2 linked regions of the Arabidopsis thaliana genome follow. Changing the gene in region 1 together with any one later gene gives a genetic interaction. Each region holds a gene or a part of one and is shown in the gene's direction. Other genes may lie near its edges.

Evidence for each region. Genes that interact genetically often act in the same process or in processes that back each other up.
Region 2: of ET2 (region 1) and FUS3, changing one enhances a phenotype caused by changing the other (phenotypic enhancement), as found in Arabidopsis thaliana (one study listed by BioGRID).

Annotation. Positions count from the first base shown.
Region 1 is NC_003076.8:22,962,642-22,969,128, reverse strand, and holds ET2 (effector of transcription2), read left to right. Parts: upstream 1-2,730; 5' UTR 2,731-2,887; coding exon 2,888-2,989; intron 2,990-3,314; coding exon 3,315-3,674; intron 3,675-3,755; coding exon 3,756-4,745; 3' UTR 4,746-4,896; downstream 4,897-6,487. Other genes in the region: AT5G56790 (Protein kinase superfamily protein), read right to left, coding at 50-204, 348-519; AT5G56770 (transcription repressor-like protein), read left to right, coding at 5,140-5,261, 5,374-5,776, 5,896-6,135. UniProt on the Arabidopsis thaliana protein: Transcriptional regulator involved in the regulation of cell differentiation in meristems. Probably regulates the expression of various KNAT genes involved in the maintenance of the cells in an undifferentiated, merismastic state.
Region 2 is NC_003074.8:9,852,675-9,859,085, reverse strand, and holds FUS3 (AP2/B3-like transcriptional factor family protein), read left to right. Parts: upstream 1-2,873; 5' UTR 2,874-3,337; coding exon 3,338-3,580; intron 3,581-3,771; coding exon 3,772-3,861; intron 3,862-3,943; coding exon 3,944-4,044; intron 4,045-4,367; coding exon 4,368-4,414; intron 4,415-4,516; coding exon 4,517-4,593; intron 4,594-4,677; coding exon 4,678-5,061; 3' UTR 5,062-5,258; downstream 5,259-6,411. Other genes in the region: AT3G26782 (Tetratricopeptide repeat (TPR)-like superfamily protein), read right to left, coding at 6,404-6,411. UniProt on the Arabidopsis thaliana protein: Transcription regulator involved in gene regulation during late embryogenesis. Its expression to the epidermis is sufficient to control foliar organ identity by regulating positively the synthesis abscisic acid (ABA) and negatively gibberellin production.

The DNA of each region.
Region 1 (6,487 bases):
AAAAGCTGTTTCTTTTTAAATCTACATGAATAAAAGTGAGTTTCTCTACCTTCTCTGCATCATAAACATTGTGTAACTGAAACATCATCTGAGAACATGACTCATGAATATCATCTTTCCTATCCGAATTCGTTCCAGCAAGAAATCTTCCATAACCTGATGCACAGTCACTAGTGAACCTCGAAAATCCCCAAATCTTTTTACCTGAAAGAAACCAAAGACATAAAGATTAAATCTTTACACCATTCTAACTAAATCATTCAGCACCAAAGAGACCAAATTTATCACCACTCAACACCAATAAGTAGCCAAATCGAAAAAGAAGAGAAGAGGAAAAAGATGTGTACTTGTGTAATTAGAAGGAACAACAACAAGAAGTCTAATTCGATCTCCAGGTTGAACAACATGAGTTAAAGTCCATAAAAGAGCTGCTTTTGGGATCTCCTTTGAAGCTCTAACAGCAACCATTACTTTCTTCCCCACTACAACACCTCTCTCTTTAAAACCCTTCTGCTTCATTCTCTAGCTAAGATTAAGGAAATCACAAATACAGAAATTGAAAGAACTTCTTCTTCAACCCTTGCTTACATATACTTTTAACACTTCACTCAATCTAAACCCATTTTTCTTCTGAAATGAGAAAGTGGAAGTATCACGCAATCCAAGATGCTTTCTCAAGTGACCCTAGAAGCTAAAAGAAATAAATAGAAAAAAAGTTGAGAAATTAACGCGTGTGTGAGTGTGTGTTAGTAAGTGTGTGAGATTCAATGTCTTTGAAAGACTGAAACTAATATTTTATCTGAGAAACACAAGAACAGATGCACAAAACACAACAGCACAGGAACCAATAGTGTAGTACTCTACTCTCTCTCTCTTAATAGCCAATCCCTAGATCTCTCTCTCTGTTTCTTGCAGAGAAATTTCAAAGCTTTTAGTTTGGGTTTGAAGACTTTAAGCTCCACGAAAATGGTGTGAGCATTGCTTTGCTGTAGAAAACAAGAAAAACTTGCTCATACTTTGTAAAGTGGGGCCAAAAAGCTGATGAAGTAAGTCCGATTTTTGGATTTTCAGCTACTAATTTCTTCGACAAAATCAGAGGAATTTGGTAGAAGATAAAAGCAAATATCCAAACAATTAAAATATAAACAGAGAAAGATGACAAATAAGAAGTATTTTGGATTTGTAGCTCTGTTTGAAGGAAGAGACAATGGTGTGTTATTATTATTATATGATTGGTGGAGTTTCTTTCTTCTTCTTCTTTCTCTCTATTTGTCTCTGTATTTTTTTTTGTATTTTAAATAAATTCCAAGAATAATAAAAAGAATAAAGAAATATTCACAAAGTACTCTGCTTTATTCTAAAGAGAGCAAAAAGAAACCAAGAGAGTTGTGTCAAAGGATGATACTTGATTCTTTTTTTGGTTCAAATTTGTTGATTTTAATTTTTTAGAATTAGTGAAAGAATAAGACTGTTTTCTTTCTTCATGGACAAGTTATGGCCAACTTTCTTCTTTTATAACAAAAGAACCATTATAGAATTGGTTCTCATAATTCATTTCAAAAGAAAAAGAGTAAAAATTAGCTTAGAATGGTTATAATGAAGGAGTTGAACGTTGCACTTGCATGCTTTTCATGTTGCTTTTTATATATTTCAGTGGAGAAAGTGAAAAACAAAAGTTGAGAAAAGATGATTTGTACTTTATTAAAGCATAAAAGGTGCTTCAATAAATCAAAGTCTAGTGATGCAATCGAATATATCTTATGTTATCTTAGAAATTAAACAATTTTGAGATCTTATGATTTAGTAAATATATACTGTTACTTAAGTGAAAAGGGTGAAAACAACATTTTGGACTTAATGGCAGCATGGAAAGTGACACTAATCAGTTTTTTTTTTTCTTTTTTTAATAAAGTGGTATCAGAATTGTTATCTTTAAGTTTTACTTTTTTTTTCGGCTTCGGAAACGGGGTCCTTAGATGGTAGGGGATAGGTGAGCCGCTTGTCGACATTCCATAGACACATTGATTGGCTTATAGCTTCAACGCGGTTAGCATCCTTAGGGCAAGCCATCAAATTAAAACAAGTATATCTCATGAGTTAAGTGTTAAGATAATGACCACATTTGTGAGATGTTGTGGAACATTAGTTCTCCCTATATATAACGGTTGGAGAACTTCCAAAGTGAAATTTGACGCGGATCGTCGACAACCAAATGCCACAATCCGGTGGGTAGAAATACCCGATGAACAGATTTACATATTCAACAACATAAATTAAATGTGTTTTCTTATAAAACATGACAAATATTAATTTGATAAGTATTTGTGTCTTTGACATTACTTTTTTAAAAAAGAGTTATTTTACGCATATTTTGTAAATATTCAATTTATTCTAAAATACTAATGATTAACAAAGGATAGACAAGATTGGTTGAAAACGAATATCACATGACCAATTTCTGGTTCTCATCAATATATTTGGTAATAACATTTGCCAAATCAAGTAAAAGTGTAATAAAAAAATCCCAAAGATAGAAGAAAATTTGACCAATTGAAAAGTTAAGTATTCTCATTAAAGAATGTAGATTCCCTCCCTTATGCTAATTACGGTTGTCAACATTGACTAATGTAGATTAAAAAAAAAAAATCCAACGGTAACTAATAAACCGTACAGAAGAAGCTTCACCGTTCCAACGGTAACTTGAAACTTTTCCTTCGGACAGAATAAAACAAAAATCATCCATTTTGGAAGGATAAACATCCATTTTTGGAGGGGAGAAAAACTTTTCTCATTTTTAACGGTGGTGTCTCTAAATTAACGAGCACTGAGAAAAAAGACCAAGTCCGCTTTAATTTAACGGTCACACTATATCATCGGTTTTATCGAAATGGAATTCGGCGACGGCGTTTCCTTCGCCGTCGTCCCCACTGTCTTCAAAAGAGAAGACTACAAACGAACTAAACACGACACCGTCTTCTCCAAGTGGCAGGTCCTCTGTCTTTCTCTTTCTCGATTTGTAGATTGAGAATTTTCGCTCGATCTTGTGTTTTCTCTGAAACCCATTTCGGAATTCTCAGATTTTCAGTTGAATCGAAAAATCTGATCTTCCATTTCCAGGATTTCAGTGTAAAGATCCCATTTTGAATGCCTAGTGTGTCTGCTTTGTCCCAAATGCATTTTCTCTGGATTTCTGTTAGAATTGGTCGCTAACTATATGTATATCTAATTAGCCTAATTCTGTTTCATTTGCTACTTGAAGTGGTTGGTTTTAGATCTTAGTTTTATCTGATTGTGTAAAGTTTGATGCTGCACAGGTACTTATAGGATCCAACGATTGGGAAGATTTCAAAAACGGAAAAGATGGTGTAGGTAGATACAGAGTCCAGAACTTACCTCGTAAATCTTGTCCGGGTCTGTATGAGCTCGGTGTAGCGGTCATCGGTCAAGAACAATGTCGAAAGCTTGAACCAGATATTGTTCTTGCTTCATATCTAGGACAAGCTGAAAGTGTTAGGTCTAGACTTCAGCGTTATGGAAGATCCGGTGCTCATTTGCGCAATGTTAACAACCTTAACGACTGTGAAACTATTGAATCTCCAGTTAAGGCTGTTACTGGAGGTTTATTTGAAGACATATTTTCGAAAGGAGGCTCGATTTTATACAGATGGGCTCCGGTTAGTAAATACATTTCTTCTTTTCTTCTATATTGGTTTGCTAAGTATACAACTTTGATCTAACTCATGTGATTGTATCAGATGGGATCTAAGAGAGAAGCTGAGGCAACAGAAGGGATGCTCTTGAGCACATTTGACTATGCTTGGAACAAAGGAAGTAACGGGGAGCGAAGGCAGCTTGATTTGCTTAAGAAGCTCGGTGATCGCGAGTTTATGAGCAAGAGAAAGTCCGGTATATCTCGAATGCTGTTTCCTTTTCTTCGGAACCAAGTTGGTATCAGAATAAAAGGAGAGAAGCATGTGCTTAAAGAAGAGAGGAAGCTAACCTGTGATGTTGATGAAGAGAAGAGTAATAATTTCCTCACTTCAATACTCAAACTCACCCGGTCTAGACCTCAACCGGTTTCAGACAGATTTGATGAGGTTGATGGTTCTTGTTCTGATATTGTTTGTGGAGTCTTACTTGAAGATGGTGGCTGTTGCATTAGAAGTCCAGTCAAAGGGAGAAAGAGATGCATAGAGCATAAAGGACAGAGAGTTTGCCGTGTTTCACCCGAAAAACAGACACCGCCAAAGTCCGAGATTTTCACTGGACAAGATCATCACAATCATAAAGACTCTGATGTTGTGTGTGGAGTGATCTTACCTGACATGGAACCTTGCAATAAGAGACCTGTTCCTGGAAGAAAACGATGTGAGGATCATAAAGGCATGAGGATCAATGCTTTTCTTTTTCTTCTTAACCAAACTGACCGTGAGAAAACCGTCAAAGACGAGAAACCTGATCCCGAATCGCATACCGAGTCAATCGAAGAAGAAGCTTTGACTCGCTTCTGTGAAGCTACAACAAAGAATGGGTTACCTTGCACAAGAAGTTCTCCTAAAGGAAGCAAAAGGTGTTGGCAACATAAGGAGAAAACTTCCAGCGATACTTCGCCGGTATATTTTCAGCCAGAGGCAGCAAAAAACGTAGCTTGTGGAGTTAAATTAGGCAATGGATTGATCTGTGAGAGATCTCCGGTAAAAGGACGTAAGAGATGTGAAGAGCATAAGGGAATGAGAATCACCTAACCTCTGCATCACTTGTTTATGTTATTTGTTACCTAACCAGAATTGTTTGTACCAAAACCGTTTTGGTTTCGGTATTGGTTTGCTGAACAATCATCTGTACTGGATGACTCACAATCTCATTTTTTATAAATTTAAAATCAGTTTTGATTAACATCGTTGACTTGCATCTTTGCATTACATTAGATGTTTTTAGATTTAAAAATACATAGACCCGTTTCCCGCCATGCCTCCACTTTGTTACTTGTCCATGATGCGAAAAACTGTAAACGACCCATTTCTTTTTCAACTTCCCTTCGCTTCTTCCATATATCTACGATCGTAATATATCAGAGCTGCCTTCTTTCATTATTTTTCTGTAGCAGAACCGTTTTGTTCTGTTTTATTTTGTTTGACAATGTCGTTTGTTCTATTATCGAAGATGGCGAAGTTGAAGTTTAACCATATACGACACACAATCATTAGCACGCAAAAAAGCACAACCATTATGCCGGGGATAAGTCAGCTCTTGAACAATAGGTCTCTTATCATCTCATCTATTCACAATGTTGTTGCATTTTTATCCTCTGTTTTTTTTCTTACTATTATTGGTCCTTCAGGCTTTAAATTAATGGTCATAATGTATCACCAGATTGATCGGAAAGGAATTCAGTTCCGCCGTCCCCACTATGTTCAAGAGAGAAGACTACAAGCTGACTATACACGACATCGCATTCTCCAAATGGCGGAATCTTATAAGACACAATGATTGGAAAGATTTCAATAATAGAAAAGAAAGGGTCCGTAGATACAGACATGAGGACTTACCCCCTCAACGTTGTACGGGTCTGTATGAGCTCGGTGTAGGCGTCATCGGTCAAGACCAAGGCCAAAACTTTGATCCTGATAATAATGTTCTTGGTGTATATGTCGGACAATGTGTAGACGTAAAATCAAGACTCCAGGATTATGGAAGACGCGGTGGTCATTTGCCCTCGGGTTTATATGAGGACATATTCTCGGAAGGATACTCAGTTTTTTATAGATGGGCACCAGTAAATACATGTCTTCTTATCTTCTCTAGTTGGTCTGCTACGTATACACCTTTGATCCTAACTCATGTGATTGTTTCTCTGCTTTACCGTGATTTATCAGATGGGATCTAATTAAGTAGGAAGCTGCTGCAACAGAAGGGATGCTTTTGAGCACTTTTGATTATGCATGGAACACATGCAGTAATGGGGAACGACGCCATCTTGAGTTACAGAAGCTCGGTGACCCCGAGTTTATGAGCAAGAGAAAGTCACAAGTGCTAGTTCCTTCTATTCGAGACCAAGTTGTTACCATCAAAGTAGAGAAGAGTAATTATACTTTCCTCACTTCAACACTCAAAGTGATGAGACCATTTGGTTAACCGGAGTAAACCTACATCGACTAGGTCAAAGATATGGCTTTTGTTTCTCCTAAATTAATTGGATTGTAACCCACTTATTCACGTTTCAAATTTGTAGTGTTAGTAGTTAATTTGTATAGTTTCTTTTTTTTTTTGATCAAAAATTTGTTACGGAAAAAGTTTGGTAAGAATGTCGGCAGAATCACCACCGTCGATTAACGGAAAGATAAATCTAATCTAACGGTTATTGATAAAGCATAAAACTGACGGCTCCGATTTTATTTTCTAAAAATCACGTTAATCACGCACCAGGTGGACTATCATTGTCTTTAATCTATGGATTTAAAAATTTCCGCACGATTAAAGAGCGTCT
Region 2 (6,411 bases), on another chromosome or scaffold:
TTTAGACAGATTTATAAAGACCTGCAAATTAATTTATAAGAGAATAGATTAAAAAATATGAAACCACAAGTAGTTTACAATTTAATTTAAAAATTGTTATAAGTCAATACATAAAATCTACACATATTTCTAAACGGGTTTATACTATTGCTATAGTTTAATCAAAAATAGTAGAGAAAGGTTAAAAAATAGAAAAAAAAATAGTATCAAAATATTTAGTTTGATGTATTTCATTCCTTACTCCAAACTATTCATTTACAAATTGGTAAATATTAAATTTTTATTTATTTATTTATGATCTGAAAATTTTAGTTGAAATCTGTTACAGCTTTTTAGTGTTAAGAAATTTAGATTTTTTATTTGTTTTTGAAAACTTATTAAACAAATTCTTATATTTAGAAATTCGTTTTCATTTCTCATATAATTTGATATTATTATTTAAATAGTTATATATATATATATTTTACCAAAAAGTGTTTAAAAAAAAAAAAGTTAAATAGACGTTACTCATCTTTTATCATGATACACGTTTCTGTTTCCATAGATCAACAATACTTAAAAAAACAAAAATCAATACAATACGTCTCTTTTTAATACATGTGCATATTATAGTAGTCAAGTATATTTATATATATCTCAATTTCATATACTATTATCTAACTATATTTTTTAATGTTATTTTAGTTATGTTTATATTTTGGTAGGTCATATAATTCATGGATAAAAACTAATTGAAAGTATATTGGCCTGAAACATACATGTAGAGTATAGCGAAGAACTATTATAGTATATATATACTTATTAACTAGCATTCCTTTACACACTTTGAAATATATATACTTATAACTATTATAGTACATATATACTTATTAATTACTACTAGCATTTCTTTACACACTTTGAAATTAGAATTAAATCTATTCTTCCCATTACTTGTTATTTGTCAATATTTATTTTTGATGGTTTTTATATAATATACACATATCTAAGATGTCGTTTGTTTATAATTTCAAAGTGAGTAAAAAAAAATAAAAAAATAAGAGATACTCTCATAAGTTTGAAGAGATTACATGCCACTTTCAATGCATAAAATCAGTTTTATACATGGACAAGTGGTATGCAATCCCTCCAAAATGAATGAGAGAATCCTCTTTTTTTTTTCTTAACCACTTTGAAATTAATTAAGTATATTTTTAACTTCTAAATCCTCCCCATCCAACACCATTCCAAAACATATCCATTTAGAGTCGAAGAATTATCTAACTATATTATGTGGCTGGCCAGAAAAAGTTTAATTAGTTCCGATTTAATATGCAATCTATTATATTGAGTTTATATTAGGGCCTGAGATAGTTTTCTAATAAAACAAAAGTCAAGTAAGTAATCAAATGAAATATAGCTTCGATTTACTAAATTATACGTCATTTGTGATATAATGAAAAACGTTTCATGGATAAGTGGCAACTATTCTCTCCAAATTTAGTGAGTGAATTTTTCTTTTTCTTTCTTTATGCACTTTTAAATTGTAATTAGTTGTCAAATATCGCTTGACTAGTTTTCATTCAAAAATCATGAACTATCAATCTATCACTATAGTTGTAAGCTAAAATTCATTATACATATGTACACTAACATGAGTAACTATTTAATCTTCTTTTTGTTTTCGAAAACTCATTAGTCATTAGAGTTTTAAAGTCATGAAAAAAAAGAGAAAGAATCTTTTATTAAATTTGGAGAGAATAGTTGCCACTTGTCCATGCAAAGAAAACAAAAAATATCAAAAACGTTTTAACGTCACGTATTCTTCCTCACCCATACTTTCCCCTAATATATTCGTGCAGAGTCGAAAATTATTTTAGTATATTACTAAAATTGACAAAATCGTTACTTGATTATCATTTAGTAACGCCCTTATCAAGAAAAATGGAAAGTAGAATCGAACAAAATATTAATTAAATTCAGGAAAAATATTAATCGACCAAACATATACAGTATGGTTTTTTTGTTAAAGTTAAATCATAGAAGAATAACGAAACATGAATTGCAATTTTCTAAGAGTATGCATCTAGTTAAAACCCATGGAAATGTGTTATCATGTCGATAATCAATCATTCGACGAATTATAGAATATGGCATATAAATGGTATTTGTTAGTAACAATGACAACAATATATATAGATGATAGATAAATTTGTGTCAATCTAAGTTGTATATACTAACAAATTATAAATACCATTACACATTTTTCGTCTGTTATTCGTCGAATATTGATAGATTAACGAAATGATTACACATTTCCATAGTTTTAACTAGATGCATAATTTACAAAATTCAATTCATGTTTCTTTATTTTCTATAATTTAACTTTAACAAAAAAAACATATTTCTTTTGTCGCTTTTTTTTCTTCTGAAATATAATTAATGGAGTACTATATTGTTCCATTCATCTTTCCATAATTTTTTCTGATACGGGCGTTACTAAATGAAAGTCAAGTAACGATTTTCGTATGGGAGTTTGATATTCTAGCTTTAAGCTATGAGACAAATGTGCTATTTCAACCTAAGTCAAGTAATCTCAAAGGTACAATGAATCCTTCACTTCTCTTCCAAATCAGTTATCGTCTAAGTCTGTAGAAACAAAAAGCCTTTATTCTTGGTCGCAAAAATGTTCTTTATCCCTAAAAAAAAGTCGTAGAATCTACGTATATACAAATCACATGTTGACCAGTAAGTAATGAGAGTTAAATTGACTTTAAAACTAGAGTTAAATGTGGTAGAGAGAGAGAAGAAGACGCCATTGAATTCTGGAAAAAAGGAAAGAAGCAGAACTTTTGCTACACTTGTTCACCATGCACAATCCACTCGTCCCTTTGCTCTTGGTTCTAAACTTTAACCTAACCTAATCTCTAAACTATGGTTGAGTGTTAGTTTAGTGGCATTAGATCTTGTTGCGTTACTATCATCATAATAATCTTATCAAGATTTAGAAAATCTTAATCTTCCAAAACCCTAGATTCATGAATGTAGGTTATACAAATGTCACTTCCTTACCATAAATAGTAAAACAAAAATCATTAAAAACCAATGGTAAACCCAAATCTCTGATTGCCCAGCGTCCATTTTAAGCCTCTGTTTCGATCTGCACAACACACATACACACAACACAACACAAACCACAGTCTCTCTTTCTCTCTCTATCTATCTTCTCTTTCTCTCTCTATCTCTATCACTGAAACCCAAAGAGATCCACCATTTGTTCTTTTTTCCTTCACACAGAGAACTGTTTTCTTCCACACTTCCTTTTTACTAGGCAGTGTTAACCAATTGAGAGAGAAAAATGATGGTTGATGAAAATGTGGAAACCAAGGCCTCTACTTTAGTGGCAAGTGTTGATCATGGGTTTGGATCCGGGTCGGGTCATGATCATCATGGGTTATCGGCGTCTGTGCCTCTTCTTGGTGTTAACTGGAAGAAGAGAAGGATGCCTAGACAGAGACGATCTTCTTCTTCCTTTAACCTTCTCTCTTTCCCTCCTCCTATGCCTCCTATTTCCCACGTGCCAACTCCTCTCCCCGCACGTGTAAGCTCTTCACTCTTTTTTACTATTTTCCCTCTCTCTCTCTCTCTCTAAATATTATTAATTCAAAACTATTTTTTGTTATTTTTATAAGATCTGTGAGGATCCAAATAAAAATAGATTTAGAGTTTTGTATATTTTTCTATTGGATTGGTTTTATTAAAAAGATTCAATGTATATTGTGATGATGTCAGAAAATTGACCCAAGAAAGCTAAGATTCCTCTTCCAAAAGGAACTCAAGAACAGTGACGTCAGCTCTCTCCGACGTATGATACTCCCGAAGGTGATCTTTGATTATATATGATCATGATGATGATTAATGATGTTGGTGTTGATATGATAACTAATGATGATGATCCATATAGAAAGCCGCGGAGGCTCACTTGCCGGCACTTGAATGCAAGGAAGGGATTCCTATAAGAATGGAAGATTTGGACGGTTTTCACGTTTGGACCTTCAAGTATAGGTACTTTTATCATTTTACTCCTAATCAATGTTATGTAACAAAGCATAGCTTATATAGTTGAATCAAACTATTCAGTTACAAAATTGGTTAGCAAGAATTTCAAAATTGGCTAGTACGAATCTATAACGGATAGGTTATATCTGATCTTAAGATCTACATGGATAATTCTTGGTAGATCAATCATTTTGAAAGTATTCATGTATCCATGTCGATCTTAAGACCTTTAAAATAGCATCATTTCATTTAAGACTAAGCTAAAGTAAATGAGATCGTTAGAAGAAACCATAGATGTTTGAGTCTTGGCCTAATGTTGTGATCATTAGGTACTGGCCAAACAACAATAGCAGAATGTACGTGCTAGAAAACACAGGTAAAGTTACCGACAATCCCGGTTTTTGTTTTTTTTTATGATAATAAAAAATCGAATCAATGATTGTTAAAAATATTGGATCGAGCTGGGTATTATTTCCAGGCGATTTTGTGAATGCTCATGGTCTGCAGCTAGGTGACTTCATCATGGTTTACCAAGATCTCTACTCAAACAATTACGTACGTTACACGCTACTAAAAAGAAAATTCTACAAAACGTGTTACATGTTTAGGCTCAATTTTATTTATTTATTTTTACTTTAGGTTATACAAGCAAGAAAAGCATCGGAAGAAGAAGAAGTAGACGTAATCAATCTTGAAGAAGACGACGTTTACACAAACTTAACAAGGATCGAAAACACTGTGGTTAACGATCTTCTCCTCCAAGATTTTAATCATCACAACAACAACAACAACAACAACAGCAACAGCAACAGCAACAAATGTTCTTACTATTATCCAGTCATAGATGATGTCACCACAAACACAGAGTCTTTTGTCTACGACACGACGGCTCTTACCTCCAACGATACTCCTCTCGATTTTTTGGGTGGACATACGACGACTACTAATAATTATTACTCCAAGTTCGGAACATTCGATGGTTTGGGCTCCGTTGAGAATATCTCTCTCGATGACTTCTACTAGATAATCAATCGATGGGCTCATGGTATTCTTGATGGTGATCAGCTATTTAATATCCTTATAATATATATAAGAATTAAATGCAATTTGCATATATATTATCAAGTGTTGAATATAACATTACAGTTTATATGAAAATCATAGCTAGATGTGAGTCATGAAGGTGTGTTGTATTTGATGAATAAATGTTATTTAGTGTTACGGCGTTAATATATTATTAATCCTTTAAAGAAGATTTATGATACTAGTTTTCTTTTTATTGGAGATTATTTGTTTGTCTTGCAAACGTTAATCATTATATATACTAGAATTAAGGATTGAAATTTTTTGATGTTAAGTTTAGAAACAATTTATGTTGATAAAATCATTTTATGCTAGTAAAGTTTGTATTAAGCTACATCAATCTTATATATATAATCCCACACATTGCGTAGGAAAATTTAGTTATCACTAATAAAAAAAAGCACATAATTTAGAACACCTCAACTAATTGATAAGTAGGTAGTTAGTTACTATATATTTAATCAAAGATCAAAATGTGACAGTTGTAGTACCATCTCCTTATAAAAGCTATCTTACTGCAATAATCTTGTACCTCAAGGTACCCAAGATTTCTCATTCCTTCTTCTAAGTATAGTAATAAAGGATACCATGCTTTAAACTTTTCGGGGACTATTAAACTTCGAGGTTGTCAATTGATTAAAACCTTATACTGAACTGAAGTAACACTCCGTCTTATCTAGGAGACCTAGTTACCGCAAAAAAATTATTTTCTTTAGTAAATACTCGATAAAATTAAAGACCACTCTATTGGATTATAAACTTTATTCATGTCTGTTTTAATCGTCATATAATTTCGTCCCTAAACCATGAAACATCTCTTGTGAAATTAGAATATTATATGAAAGTAATATTCTTTAGATAAAAGCCGATTGTGTTTCCGAAATAAGATCCGATAGGACTTTTTAAGTTTTTGTCATAGGAATTAAGATATTATTTTCTGGGATGTAACTGGTTTAAAAAAAAGAAGAGATATTTAATAATACCTCATATGATCAAGCATTTGCTTTTAATTTTATCATCTTCATCTTCTTCATCTCTCTATCTCTCTCTCAATGCCAAACTCAAGTCCATCGTAGACCAGACGAGCTACAAGAGTTTGGTGTTATGTAACACTTTTATACTATTTTATTGTATATCATTCTTTTCAAACCAAGAACCATATTTTTCAAGTTTAACGGTTAACAAAACCAATAGATTTGTGAAATCGTAATTGTATTTTCTTACACTAAATCTGATTAAACACGAGAAGAATTACTCATCTAAACGAAATTCTAATATCTAATCACCAGT